Linked DNA regions of Sus scrofa. The protein of the gene in region 2 interacts with the protein of the main gene of each other region in a pairwise test. Links are inferred from orthologs where the notes say so. Each region holds a gene or a part of one and is shown on either strand. Other genes may lie near its edges.

Region 1 (4,162 bases), on a different chromosome or scaffold from region 2:
GATGCAGCCCTACAGACAAGCAAAGCTCAGCCTCTTCTGCTGTGTACTACTCCACTGGTTGACCGTACCTCAAGGTATCATCCATTCTCCTGTAAATGGGCTTTTCATCTGTTTCCCAGTTTTTGTGACCAGAAATCTTCCTGCCATGAGTTTTTTCCTAGCTGTCTCCTTATGTGTCAGTGTGTACATGTGTGAGACGGTCCCCTGAACACTCACAAACATCTCAACAACTTTTTATCATTCACCTCCCCCTCACCTTTAGGCCTCATTTCTCTCCCTCTTGACCTAAACTGATGCTCAAAGGAACCTGGGCACACATAAGTGACTAGGAATCCCTGCCCCACCACCAAACTACATAACACTGGGCAAGTGACAGTGATGGTGTCCCCTCCCTGTGATGGCCTCAGTTTCCTCCTCTATAAAAGGGGGATGACCTGCCTTGCCCACCTGTGTAGAGGCTAAAATGAAAGAACACCACACAAGAGCCCACTGGGGTGCATGGGCGTTGGGACCCTCATCTCATGTCACAATACCAGGGAGATTTGTTTTGGCCATGCCCACAAGGCCAGGGCTCAAACCCACACCACAGCAGTGACAGCACTGGATCCTAAACTCACTGCATCACCTCGGAGCGCCACCAAGGAGACATTTTATCCTTATCGCTCAGGTTAAAAATGCCAAGGCAAAAAAAGAAAAAAAAAAAAAAAAAAAAAGCCAAGGCTCTGAAAAGGAAGCTACCACCTAGTCACTGAGCTGGTGGACCTGATGCTTTATTCCTTGGGAGTGTTCAAGGTCACCAACATTTACTGAGCCCCTGCTCCCTGCCAGGCCCTGTGTTCCGTGCTCAGCATGTACAGTCTCTTTAATTAACTCCTCTTTTCCAACCCCAAGAAAACACAGAGGCTCAGAGAGGGGACCAGTTTTGCCCAAGGCCACTGAGGAGCAGAGGCTAAGTTTGGAACCACCCCCTCACCTGAACACAGCAGGCACCCCAAACCCCAGCTGCCTCAGTCTTCCTTTCCAGTGACGAGGTGAAGGGCCTTGAACCAGCCTCTTCCCCCCACCCGAGCAGTCTCCTCTCGGGGGAATTGTGGTGGCCACAGGTGCAGGGAGCGGTTCCTCTCCACTTGTAGCCTGAAGCCTCCTGGCAGGGGCTCCCCGCAGCCTGACAGCCAGCGGCCCAGCAGTGGGGCCAGTGGAGCCCATCTCCGCAGGGCTGGGCAGGAAGTGGGGCGGGGTTTTGAGCTTGACCGAGGTGGGATCTGGTACCCCCGGACTGCTGCAACCCAGACAAACCAACTCACTGGGAGAAGATGCCTGGGGGTCGCCGAGCCCTCCAAACCCCACCTGCCACCATCTTTCTCCTCTTGATCTCCGCAGCTGCCCTGGGTACGTGGTTAAGAGCAGGTGCGGGGGTGGGAGTGGGGGAACTGGGAGGCAGCTGAGAGGGCACAGGCAGAGGGGGTGGGAGAGGAGCTGACAAGAGGAGGGCTGGAAAAGACCCCACAGAAACTGCATCTATCAGCTTAACTGTCCCCAGCAGGCCGACGGGAGGCTGAAGGGAGCTCAGTGAAGTTGAAGGGCATATTTCATGGAGGGAGGCGGGGGCCTGAGATACCTTTGCCACCCTTCATCCCCACAGATCAAAATAAGGAACTAAGGTTGCCTTTGACCCACTGAGCTCCAGAGCTGGGGGCAGGGAGGGACCGTGGGTAGTGCTCAGCTTCAGGAGGAAGAAAAAGCTTTCTCCTTCTCTGCCTTGAATCTCATCCCTTGTCTATGGAGCTGGGTGACCTTCCCCCTTCCCTTCCTGCGCAACGCCGCCAGCTGGGCAGGGCTGTGACCACCCTGTCACACCAAGAGAGGTGGCCAATCACCCCAAGTGACACTGGGACCTAGGACTGGAGTCCATGACCGTGACCCTGAGGTTGCTACCTCTGTCCCCACCTCTTCCTCCTTTCTGTCCTCCTCACCTCTCTCTTTCTCCCGATGAAGGAGGCAGAGCCAGCCATGTGGACTGGCCTGTGGGGGGAGGCTGAAAACTGGGGCTTCCCCAGCAGCCAGCCTGCGCCACCCCAGCTCCCTCCCACCAACCACCTAGCTGAGGCCCTCCCTAACCCCAGCTCAGCCCACCCACTGAACCACCCCTGGCCCCCAGCTTGACATGCGGGGGTGGGCCCAGGGTCACAGGGCAAGGCGGGCCGGCAAACAGGCAGGAAGAAACCCTTTTCCCGGGGTCAGGATTCACCCCCCTGAGCCACTCCTGCCACCCTCGGTCTCCACTGTCCCACTTGCAACATGGGACAATGAGAGAACCGACTTCTCAGGGTTCTGTGACAATTATATGAAATAAATAAATTGCCAAGTGTGGGCCCGAGCTGGGGCTGGGGCTGGGGTGAGAGAGGGAACCAGGAGGGCCCTCAGGAAGAGGCGATGGCCAAACCGATTCTGGAAGGAGCTGCCAGGCCAAGCGCACTTCTAGCACCAAGGCGACCAACTATCCAAGTGCCAGGGAGGGCAGTGGAGCTGAAGCAGAGAGCGGGTATGGAAAGGGCCGAAGGAGATGGCTCTGGAGTGATGAGCGGGGACGGGCCCCGGGGTCCGTCATGCACACAGTCCACACACACATACACAGCCGGGAGCACTACAGCTGCAGGGGCCAGGCTGGGCCTGTGTCAAGGTCCCTGACCATCTGCCTCTCCTCTCCGCAGGCCCTTGTTGCCAGGCCCTGTGGGTGGACTGGGGCCCGCCATCGGTGACGGTGAGTGTGGGGGACAAGGTCAGCCTCCCATGCAGACACAACAGCAACAGCACTAACATCACCTGGTGGCGCGTCCCTCAAGGCAACTCCACGTGGCCCCCGGTCATGGATCTCTCAGAACTGGGCCCCAAGGGCGAGCTGATCATCCAGCAAGTGAACAAGAGCCACAGGGGCATGTACAGGTGCGAAGTCAACGAGGGCCAGAGGATTCAGCGCTCCTGTGGGACCTACCTCCGCGTGCGAGGTGAGTGCCTGGGGGCTGGTTCCAAGGTCCCATCCCTCCACAGCTGGGGACACTGGCTTCCTCACCTGGGAAGGGGGATGGAGCCAGTGCCTGCATCAATCCTTACTGTCAGCATACATAGTGGCCAATTTTCTCACCTGCCAAGTGGGGGCGTCAGTGGTCTTGGCCTTTGAGGGGGGGCTGTGGCTGCTGGGCTGGGAGGCGCGTGGGGGTGGGCGGGAGGTGCCAGGGCTCTAAGCCGCACTCTGTCCTCACAGACCCCCTCCCCAGGCCCTTCCTGGACATGGGGGAGGGGACCAAGAACAACATCATCACAGCTGAGGGGATCATCCTGCTGATCTGTGCCGTGGTGCCTGGGACGCTGCTGCTGTTCAGGGTGAGCCACCTGGGGACCAGCTCCCCCCTGAGCCTCAGGCTCCCCACCAAAACTTGGCAGAATGAAAGCACCCACCTCACAAGGCCTGTGAGGGCTCAAGAATTTAATATAATGAGGGAGTTCCCATTGTGGCTCGGCAGGTTAAGAACCTGACTAGTATCCATGAGGATGCAGGTTTGATCCCTGGCCTCACTCAGTGTGTTAAAGGATCCAGCATTGCTGCAAGCTGTGGCATAGGTTGCAGATGTAGCTCAGATCTGGTGTTGCTGTGGCTGTGGCATCGGCCAGCAGCTGCAGCTCCAATTCAACCCCTAGCTCCAGGAACTTCCATGTGCCACCGGTGCTGCTCAAAAAAATGAAAAAAAAAAAAAAAAAGAATTTAATATAATGAAAGCATTTTCAATGGTGCTGGGCCTGGATGGGCATCCTTGTTCTGTCTTCCCTCAGGGTTGTCCCATGTCCACTCTCCCTTCCACCCAGCAGGGCTGTAGCCTCTAAGTGTAGCCAAGGCTGGGTGATGGGGGCTGGCGTCCTCCCGGAGTCTCTGACCTGCATCAGCCTCTCTTTAGGCCACAGGGCCTCTAGACCTATTTACTAACACTGCCGCTGTTATCCGTGAAGCATGGGCCAAAAGGACACTGGCTTGAACCTAGAGAGACCTGCTACCAATAGGATATGTGGCCCTGGGCATCTCCCTGACCCTCTCTGGTAAAGCACCTCCCCACCCTCATGAGGGTCTGAAAACATTCCCCTTCCCCGACTCACGGAGGCTCCCAATCCC
Region 2 (2,444 bases):
AGCCAGAACTCAAGCAGTGACACTTCTGCCCTCTCAGGCCAAGCCCCAATTCTCTACCCAGCAACGCCCCCCTGCCCTCCCCGTGCACGAGGGGCATGTTACAGGGCTGTGACACGAGGCGGAGGGGTGGGGGTGGGGGGGTCAAAGCCCCTCCTTGTGGGCCCCCATGCAACCTCCAGGGCTGAGTCAGAGCCTCAGCCAGTCTCAGGAGAAGCCCTCCTAGCCCCAGCCCGGCCTTAGTCTTGCTGAATGAGCCCAGGGCTGCGTTCCCCTTCCCTGGGACTCCATTTCCTCCTGAGCAAATGGCAACATTTCTGGTCCTGCCCAGGACATTTCCTCTGATTGAGTCCTTGCATCGCCTGACCTGGACAGGCTGCCGCAGAGTGGCTTCCCCACAGGCCAGAGCCTGCCCCCAAGGCGCACCCCCCACTCTGCCCCACAGGGATGAGGATGGTGCAGGAAGGGGCACCAGGGTCTTTGTCTGGATAGGCTGTCCCCACGTGAGTCCTGGGTGCAAGAAGCTCAGCCACCAGGGTTTGCTGCTATCACTAAACTTTTATTAAGAACATTCTCTGTGCAGAGCCCAATGCATGACATTGAAGAAAACAGGGACGACACAGCCAAGCCCCTGCCAAGGATGGAACAGAAGGGACACCGAGGGCCCCCAGGCAAGATGTGGCTCCAAGACGGTCACCGTGGAGCCCTGACAGGCAGGTAGGAAGCACCTACCCCTGGTGTTCCTGAGGCAATTGGATGCCACCCTCCTTGCCCTCCACGGGGGCTGCCTCTCAGCCCCCTCGGACCTTCCTCCACCTCCCAGCTGCTGCTGAAGGGTGGGGAGGAGACGGCAGGGGTGGCCGAGGGAAGGAAGGGGAGGAGGGGAGGGCTCCATGTGCAGGTGGCCTGCGTGAAGCATCACTGGCGCAGCCACAGCCAGAGGTTGGCAACGCAGACGGATACCAGCATGGTGAAGAAGAGGGTCTCCCTGTGGCGCCAGGTGGCGCCCTGGTCCTCCAGGGCCCGCAGCCGCCCGGTGATCACTTGCAGCTGCCAAGAGACCAGAGCTGGCAGGTGAGCAAGGCCATTCCGGGGAAGCCTGCGCACACCGGCGGGGGGAAGAAGTGTGACCTCAGAGCAGGAAGGGGGTCTGGACCAGAAGGAGGCCGGGCAGCTGAGGCCAGGGTGTAGGGTGGGCCCCGCCGCCTCGCCCCCACTTTGGGGACCTTCCTCTTGTCTGGAAGAAGCCAGCCCATCCCAGCTGTGCCACCGCAGAGTGAGGGCCATAGGATGAGGTGACACTTAGGGGCCAGAGAGGGGCTGCCAGGGAAGTTGTCCCCCAGGCCCGTGCCCCTGCCTGTTGGGGTCGCTTCCTGAGAAGACGCGGGCTTGGTCTGAAGGAAGGTGACCCCTCACTCAGATGTCTTGGCATGGCTCTTTCAGCACCAGTTTCTCCTGTGCCCCCATGTCCTCTCTTCCCCCCCCTCACGCCCCCCCTTCTTCCTTCCAGCATCTCGGGGAGAGACACAGGGTTGGGGCTGGGCATCAGGATAGATACGGGAGCCAAGGGGACTGGGGGGAGGGAAGGGCGACCTGGATGTCACCGTCACCTCCACCGCTAGAGGATAATGCGACTGGCAAGGCTGAGCATCGCCAAGGCGGGTGTCGAGGCCCCGCCTGCCCCAGGGCACTGGGCCTCGGCCTCCACCCTCCGCGTGGCTCCCCGGCAATCCGACGCTCACCTGTCTTCTCATGATTTCCATCTCCAGCCCGTTTAGCTCCTCCAGGCCAATCTCAGCGATCACGTCTGCCCCCAGGTTGCTGGGAAAAAAGACAAGAGTGAGAGTCAGAGCTCCTGGGAGACCCCCATCGATCGGGTCCTTCCCCCCCTGGTAAGCAGGTCCTGGGGCCTGAAGACTGGGAGCGGCCCAGTCGCAGGGGCCCCAAGCAAGCCAGGGGCCAGGAGGCAACGGAGCCCGAGCCCCGCTGGCACGGCCAGCTGCTCACGCTCCCCCCTGGCCAGCCTGCCTGCCAGCCCCTGTGGCCCAGCCTTGTCCCTGGGACCCTTCTTACCGCTCGTAAAGGAACCCCATGCCTTGGAAGCCGCCCTCCTGGTTTGGTTCTTGGGACGCTTTCTTTGGTGGCAGCTGGGGCCCCTAGAGAAAGGAACGGTCAGGCAGAGCAGCCTGGACAGAGGGCCCAGCGGAGCAGTTGCCCCGCACTCTGTCCAGGACCCACTGGAAGTGCTTGGGAACCCCACGAGGTGGCCGCCGGCCACACCCCGCATGGACCACGCTCCTCAAGAGCTCTTGGCCACCCAGGCTATGATGAAAGAAGAGCAGTGACGGTGTCCCTGCCCTCTGCCAGCACTGTCACATGCAGACACCGGCTGATCTGAGCAATGACTGAAGGAGAAAGAGGGAAAAGCCCCATTTCAAAACCAAGAA
Region 3 (4,158 bases), on a different chromosome or scaffold from region 2:
GGCCCAGGAACTTCTATATGCTGTGGGTTCAACCATAAGATTAAAAAAGAAAACAGAAATTTAAAGGTTTTATTTTTTTGTCTTTTTAGGGCTGCACCTGTGGCATATGGAGGTTCCCTGGTTAGGAGTTGGATCAGAGCTGTAGCTGCAGGCCTACACCACAGCTCATGGCAATGCCAGATCCTTAACCCACTGATTGAGGCCAGGGATCCAACCTGTGTCCTCATGGTTACTAGTTAGATTCATTTCCATGGCTCATTTCCACTGAGCCATTATGGGAACTCCAAAAATTTAAGGGTTTTAGGTAAGTTTATGACTAATGGACCCAAATGGGTTATTAGCGTACGTATTTAAGATATTTCATAGAATGTACTTATCCTTTGAAGCTGAATTGACAGGGACACTTCCTTCTCCTCTGGCACCACAGATAAAGCACTGGACTGAATGGGCATATATCCAAGTCTCAATGTTAACACAGCAGATTAAGTGTGATTTATAAAGTAAAATATTTTAGGACCTTATGGACAGAGGCCTGGACAGCTAGTCAGCATTTCAAGCACATGGTAGCTACTGAATAGAACTAAACCTTTACTTGAATCAAATCAATAAATTAGCAAAACTTTTTAAATTTCCATATTGTCAACTCAGGCTATTCTATGCCCGCTCTCCCAAGAGTTAAACAAGCAAAGCCTTATTCTGTCACACAACGGATATTAAATAATTTAATATCCATTAAATTAAATCTTACAATATCATCAGAGACATGTGAGGAAATCTTTTAAAACCACGATTCTAACAATTATGGTGCAGCAAACACATAGCGAATATTCCTTAAAAGGTCCAAAAGTCCCTATCTGCAAATATTTAAATTTTGTTTCTCAAAAATGAAGTACTACTATGTAAAAAAGCAAGTTATAGAAAAGCTTACGTGGTATGATACCATTTTTGTATAAAACACATAAATGCAAAAAAAGAAGTCTGGAAAGATATAAAACACTGCTGACATTTTGGTGATCTCGATGGCAGGAATTACTTATGATTTATTACTTATCTATTTTAATTAACACTCCCTCCAATTATCACAAATTATATCATATAAGCAAAATATTGAGTTATAGGTTAGCATAAAAGTCAAAAAAAGAACTTCAAGAAAACATAATTCATTTGTTTAAATCAGCAGGATTCCAACCTTGGTACTAAGAAAAAAGATCTCAGCTGCACACACAGAAGGAAGAAATTTGTTATGAAGAGGTCCATTCTAGACCACACAAGGGTACTCACAAGGATACTTACAAGGGTATCCTTCAAGTGAGTAGTCTAAATTCCTAAGAACTCTTTCTAAATTTGCTAAGTTGCAATGGATTGGCACATAGTTCTGCTTTTCTATTTTGCCACCTGCTAAAGAAACACCTCAATTAATGAGTTCGCTGGGGGTGGGGGGGGAATGTTCCTGTTTTTAAAACTAAGTTAGGACAAAAAGGAGGTTTGGTTTTCTGGTCTCCTTCATGCTTTGAAAGGAGACGGGGAGGGTGGCAGGGCTCGAAGCAGGCTACACCAGAGGAATCTGCTTGGCTGGTCATCTGGAGTGGAAAGGAACACAAGCTTTCTGCCAGCTCAACAGACTGGACGGCGAGAATGCCTAAGGGTCTCAAGGCTGCACCTGAAAGGTCATACGCTGTCCAAGTTACTGTATGCACAGCAGCTTTTGACATGAATACAAAAACTGGACGGTCTCTTCAAACACAGGTATTGCATGAAGCTCATCCGACTTTCTCTACCCAAAGCCAAGACATTTTTTTAAGGCCACATCTTCGATTTTGCAAACTAGGACAACTGAAAACATCCTGACTCTCTACAGCTAACAAACATCATCTTGGCTGAAATCGTTAACACATACAGTAACAGCCACTTTGGAAAACGGGCTTTAAACGCAACATAGGACTTCAGGTACTCCAGTAACCAGTTTATCGCACTTTATCTGTTCCAGTAAAGGGTGCTACCTCTTTATGTCAGCTCTGGTTCCACTTACTGAACAGAAAAAAGGAATCCTTGAAATTCACAACACAATAAGGGCCAAAAGCACCCGCTTTCTGGATGGCAGCTTTCTTGTCTCATCAATCACAACAAAGAATGCAACCTAGTGACTTCATCAAAACCGGCAAAAGCTAAGGAACAGAGGTAAATGATACAGCGTGGATTTCAGGGTTTGTGGGGTTTTCTTTCCAGCTACGACTCTCTCTCCTTTTTTACTCCATTATACGCCTCCACCCGAGTTCACTGCTTGCCCTAAAAATAAAACCACCCGTGGCTACCGTCCACTTCCCTGCCAAGTCCCGACTCTGGTTTCCTGCAGAGAAAGCCAAATTTCAGGCTCTCCGCCTCGCTCTCCGTCGGGGGACGCGGGCTCGGCAGCAGCGGGTTTCTCCCGGTGCAGAGTCGCCGGCCCCGCCGAGGAACCACCGAGCCGGAGAAGCAGCTTTGCTTAGCCGCAGCCGCCGCAGTCCGCGAAAACCTGAGGAGCCCCCAAGAAACACCGGGGTGAGGGGAAGATGGGCCAGCAAACGGCGGTGGGAGAAAGGGGAGACACTCACCCGCCCAGACAACAACCGACGGGGCGGGGAGGATGGGGGCCGGGACCAAGCCTCGGCAGAAAGACCGCCTGGAGCTTCCGGAACGCTGCGGCTGCTCGGGCCGCCGCTGCTGCCGCTGCTCCTGACCGCCGGCTTCCTCCCCTCCTCTGTTTTGATTCGATTGACCACGTCACTCTTAGCCACGAGACCCGGATCTGCCGGCTCCCGCGGACGTCGGCGCAACAGATAGCAGCGCCTCCAGACCCCAGCGGCAGGCCTACTGAGCACGCGCGCGCCCCGCGCCTGCGCAGTGGGTCCGGAGAGGCGGAGCGGGAACAAGCTTTGCGCTGTTCGTGGGGGCGCTAGGCGCGGGTGTTGCAGTTCCGGCTGGGAGGGGTGGGGCCGAGCGTTATGAGGTGGAGGGGCGAAGCCCCACGTCTGCTGTAGCAGCCGGCGTGGCATCTGTTTCGTCTGATGTGGACAATGTCCTCTGCTGTGTGTCTCCCTTTGCCTAACCTGATGGCTTTCCTGGGCAGGAGTGTTTAGCGGGAGTAGTGGTAGGCGTTGGCGCAAGTTGATGTCTGCTGAGACATGTGGAGATTGTTTTGGCTCTCTCAGGCCAGGTGAAAATTGAAGATAGGGATTTAGTCTTATGTACAAAAGTATGTCAAACGTGGCATTTACCCCCTTTACTCTCCCTAACATTGCACTCGGAAAGCTGGCTAAAATTCAGTTCAAGGGGAGTATTAAAAGGAATATATGATGGATGGAGCGATAGTGGCGAACCTGGAGGAGAGCGCTGTTGTTAGGCAGTCAGCTCAAACCTTTTTTGCTTTGACTTTACGGATTGAAATAAGGATACTATTTGTGGTGTAAGAACCGCACTTCTTTTTAAACCAAATTAGTGCTTCCTTCTTTCCAGTTCTGGCCTTTTCAGTCTCCCCACTAAACCACTGGGGCCCAAGAAATTTCCCAATTTGGCAAAACTTAGGGCTACTCTGTTTTCTTAGTCCCATGAGTAGACAGACCTTAAAACAGGACCAGGAGGAAAATGAAAGTGTGAGTTCCGAACGAAGATTTCACAAAGGTGCCTATTTGCCTAGCCTGTGGGAGAGGTGAAAGCTGAAGGAAACTGTAGACTTCACTGAGTCAACCTTTTCAGCTAACCTGGACTTATATCTCAGTATTTGGTTAATCATCTCAACTAGCTGAGTCACCTTCAGCAAATTATTATAATCTGCAAGAGCTTTTTAATTAAAGGGGACGTCGAATGCAGGCAAAGGTTTCTAGAAAATGAAAGGTTTTTGGTAAAACCGAAAGTGTTTCCTAGGTAATTAACACTTAACAGATAGAAGTCAAGCTTCTTGGCCCTTACTCTGCAGTCTTGAACTCTGTTTACTCAAATTAAGAGGGTTTGAAGTAGACTCTAGTACCCTAGTGAAGTTCATGGGCTGACCTTGTAATAGAGGGTCTTTAATCTGTGGAACTTTAATTTGTGGAATAGAAAGTCTTGTATGCATCCATGTGCATATAAGTGTTTGAAAATACAGCTGCGTTTAAGAGAACAGTATGGTACAAAACCGAACTG

What was found. The genes of interacting proteins can lie anywhere in the genome.
Region 1: the proteins of FATE1 (region 2) and CD79A interact in binary tests that used the Homo sapiens proteins (3 or more experiments, as listed by UniProt). The two-hybrid records come from large-scale screens. The link is inferred for Sus scrofa from reciprocal best matches to the Homo sapiens genes FATE1 and CD79A.
Region 3: the proteins of FATE1 (region 2) and SMIM14 interact in binary tests that used the Homo sapiens proteins (3 or more experiments, as listed by UniProt). The two-hybrid records come from large-scale screens. The link is inferred for Sus scrofa from reciprocal best matches to the Homo sapiens genes FATE1 and SMIM14.

Annotation. Positions count from the first base shown.
Region 1 is NC_010448.4:49,996,446-50,000,607, reverse strand, and holds the start of CD79A (B-cell antigen receptor complex-associated protein alpha chain precursor), read left to right. Parts: upstream 1-1,313; coding exon 1,314-1,389; intron 1,390-2,711; coding exon 2,712-3,005; intron 3,006-3,262; coding exon 3,263-3,381; intron 3,382-4,162. UniProt on the Homo sapiens protein: Required in cooperation with CD79B for initiation of the signal transduction cascade activated by binding of antigen to the B-cell antigen receptor complex (BCR) which leads to internalization of the complex, trafficking to late endosomes and antigen presentation.
Region 2 is NC_010461.5:123,111,270-123,113,713, reverse strand, and holds the end of FATE1 (fetal and adult testis-expressed transcript protein homolog), read right to left. Parts: intron 2,154-2,444; coding exon 2,071-2,153; intron 1,819-2,070; coding exon 1,740-1,818; intron 1,048-1,739; coding exon 916-1,047; 3' UTR 536-915; downstream 1-535. UniProt on the Homo sapiens protein: Involved in the regulation of endoplasmic reticulum (ER)-mitochondria coupling. Negatively regulates the ER-mitochondria distance and Ca(2+) transfer from ER to mitochondria possibly implicating it in the regulation of apoptosis.
Region 3 is NC_010450.4:30,837,568-30,841,725, forward strand, and holds the start of SMIM14 (small integral membrane protein 14), read right to left. Parts: upstream 2,850-4,158; 5' UTR 2,592-2,849; intron 1-2,591.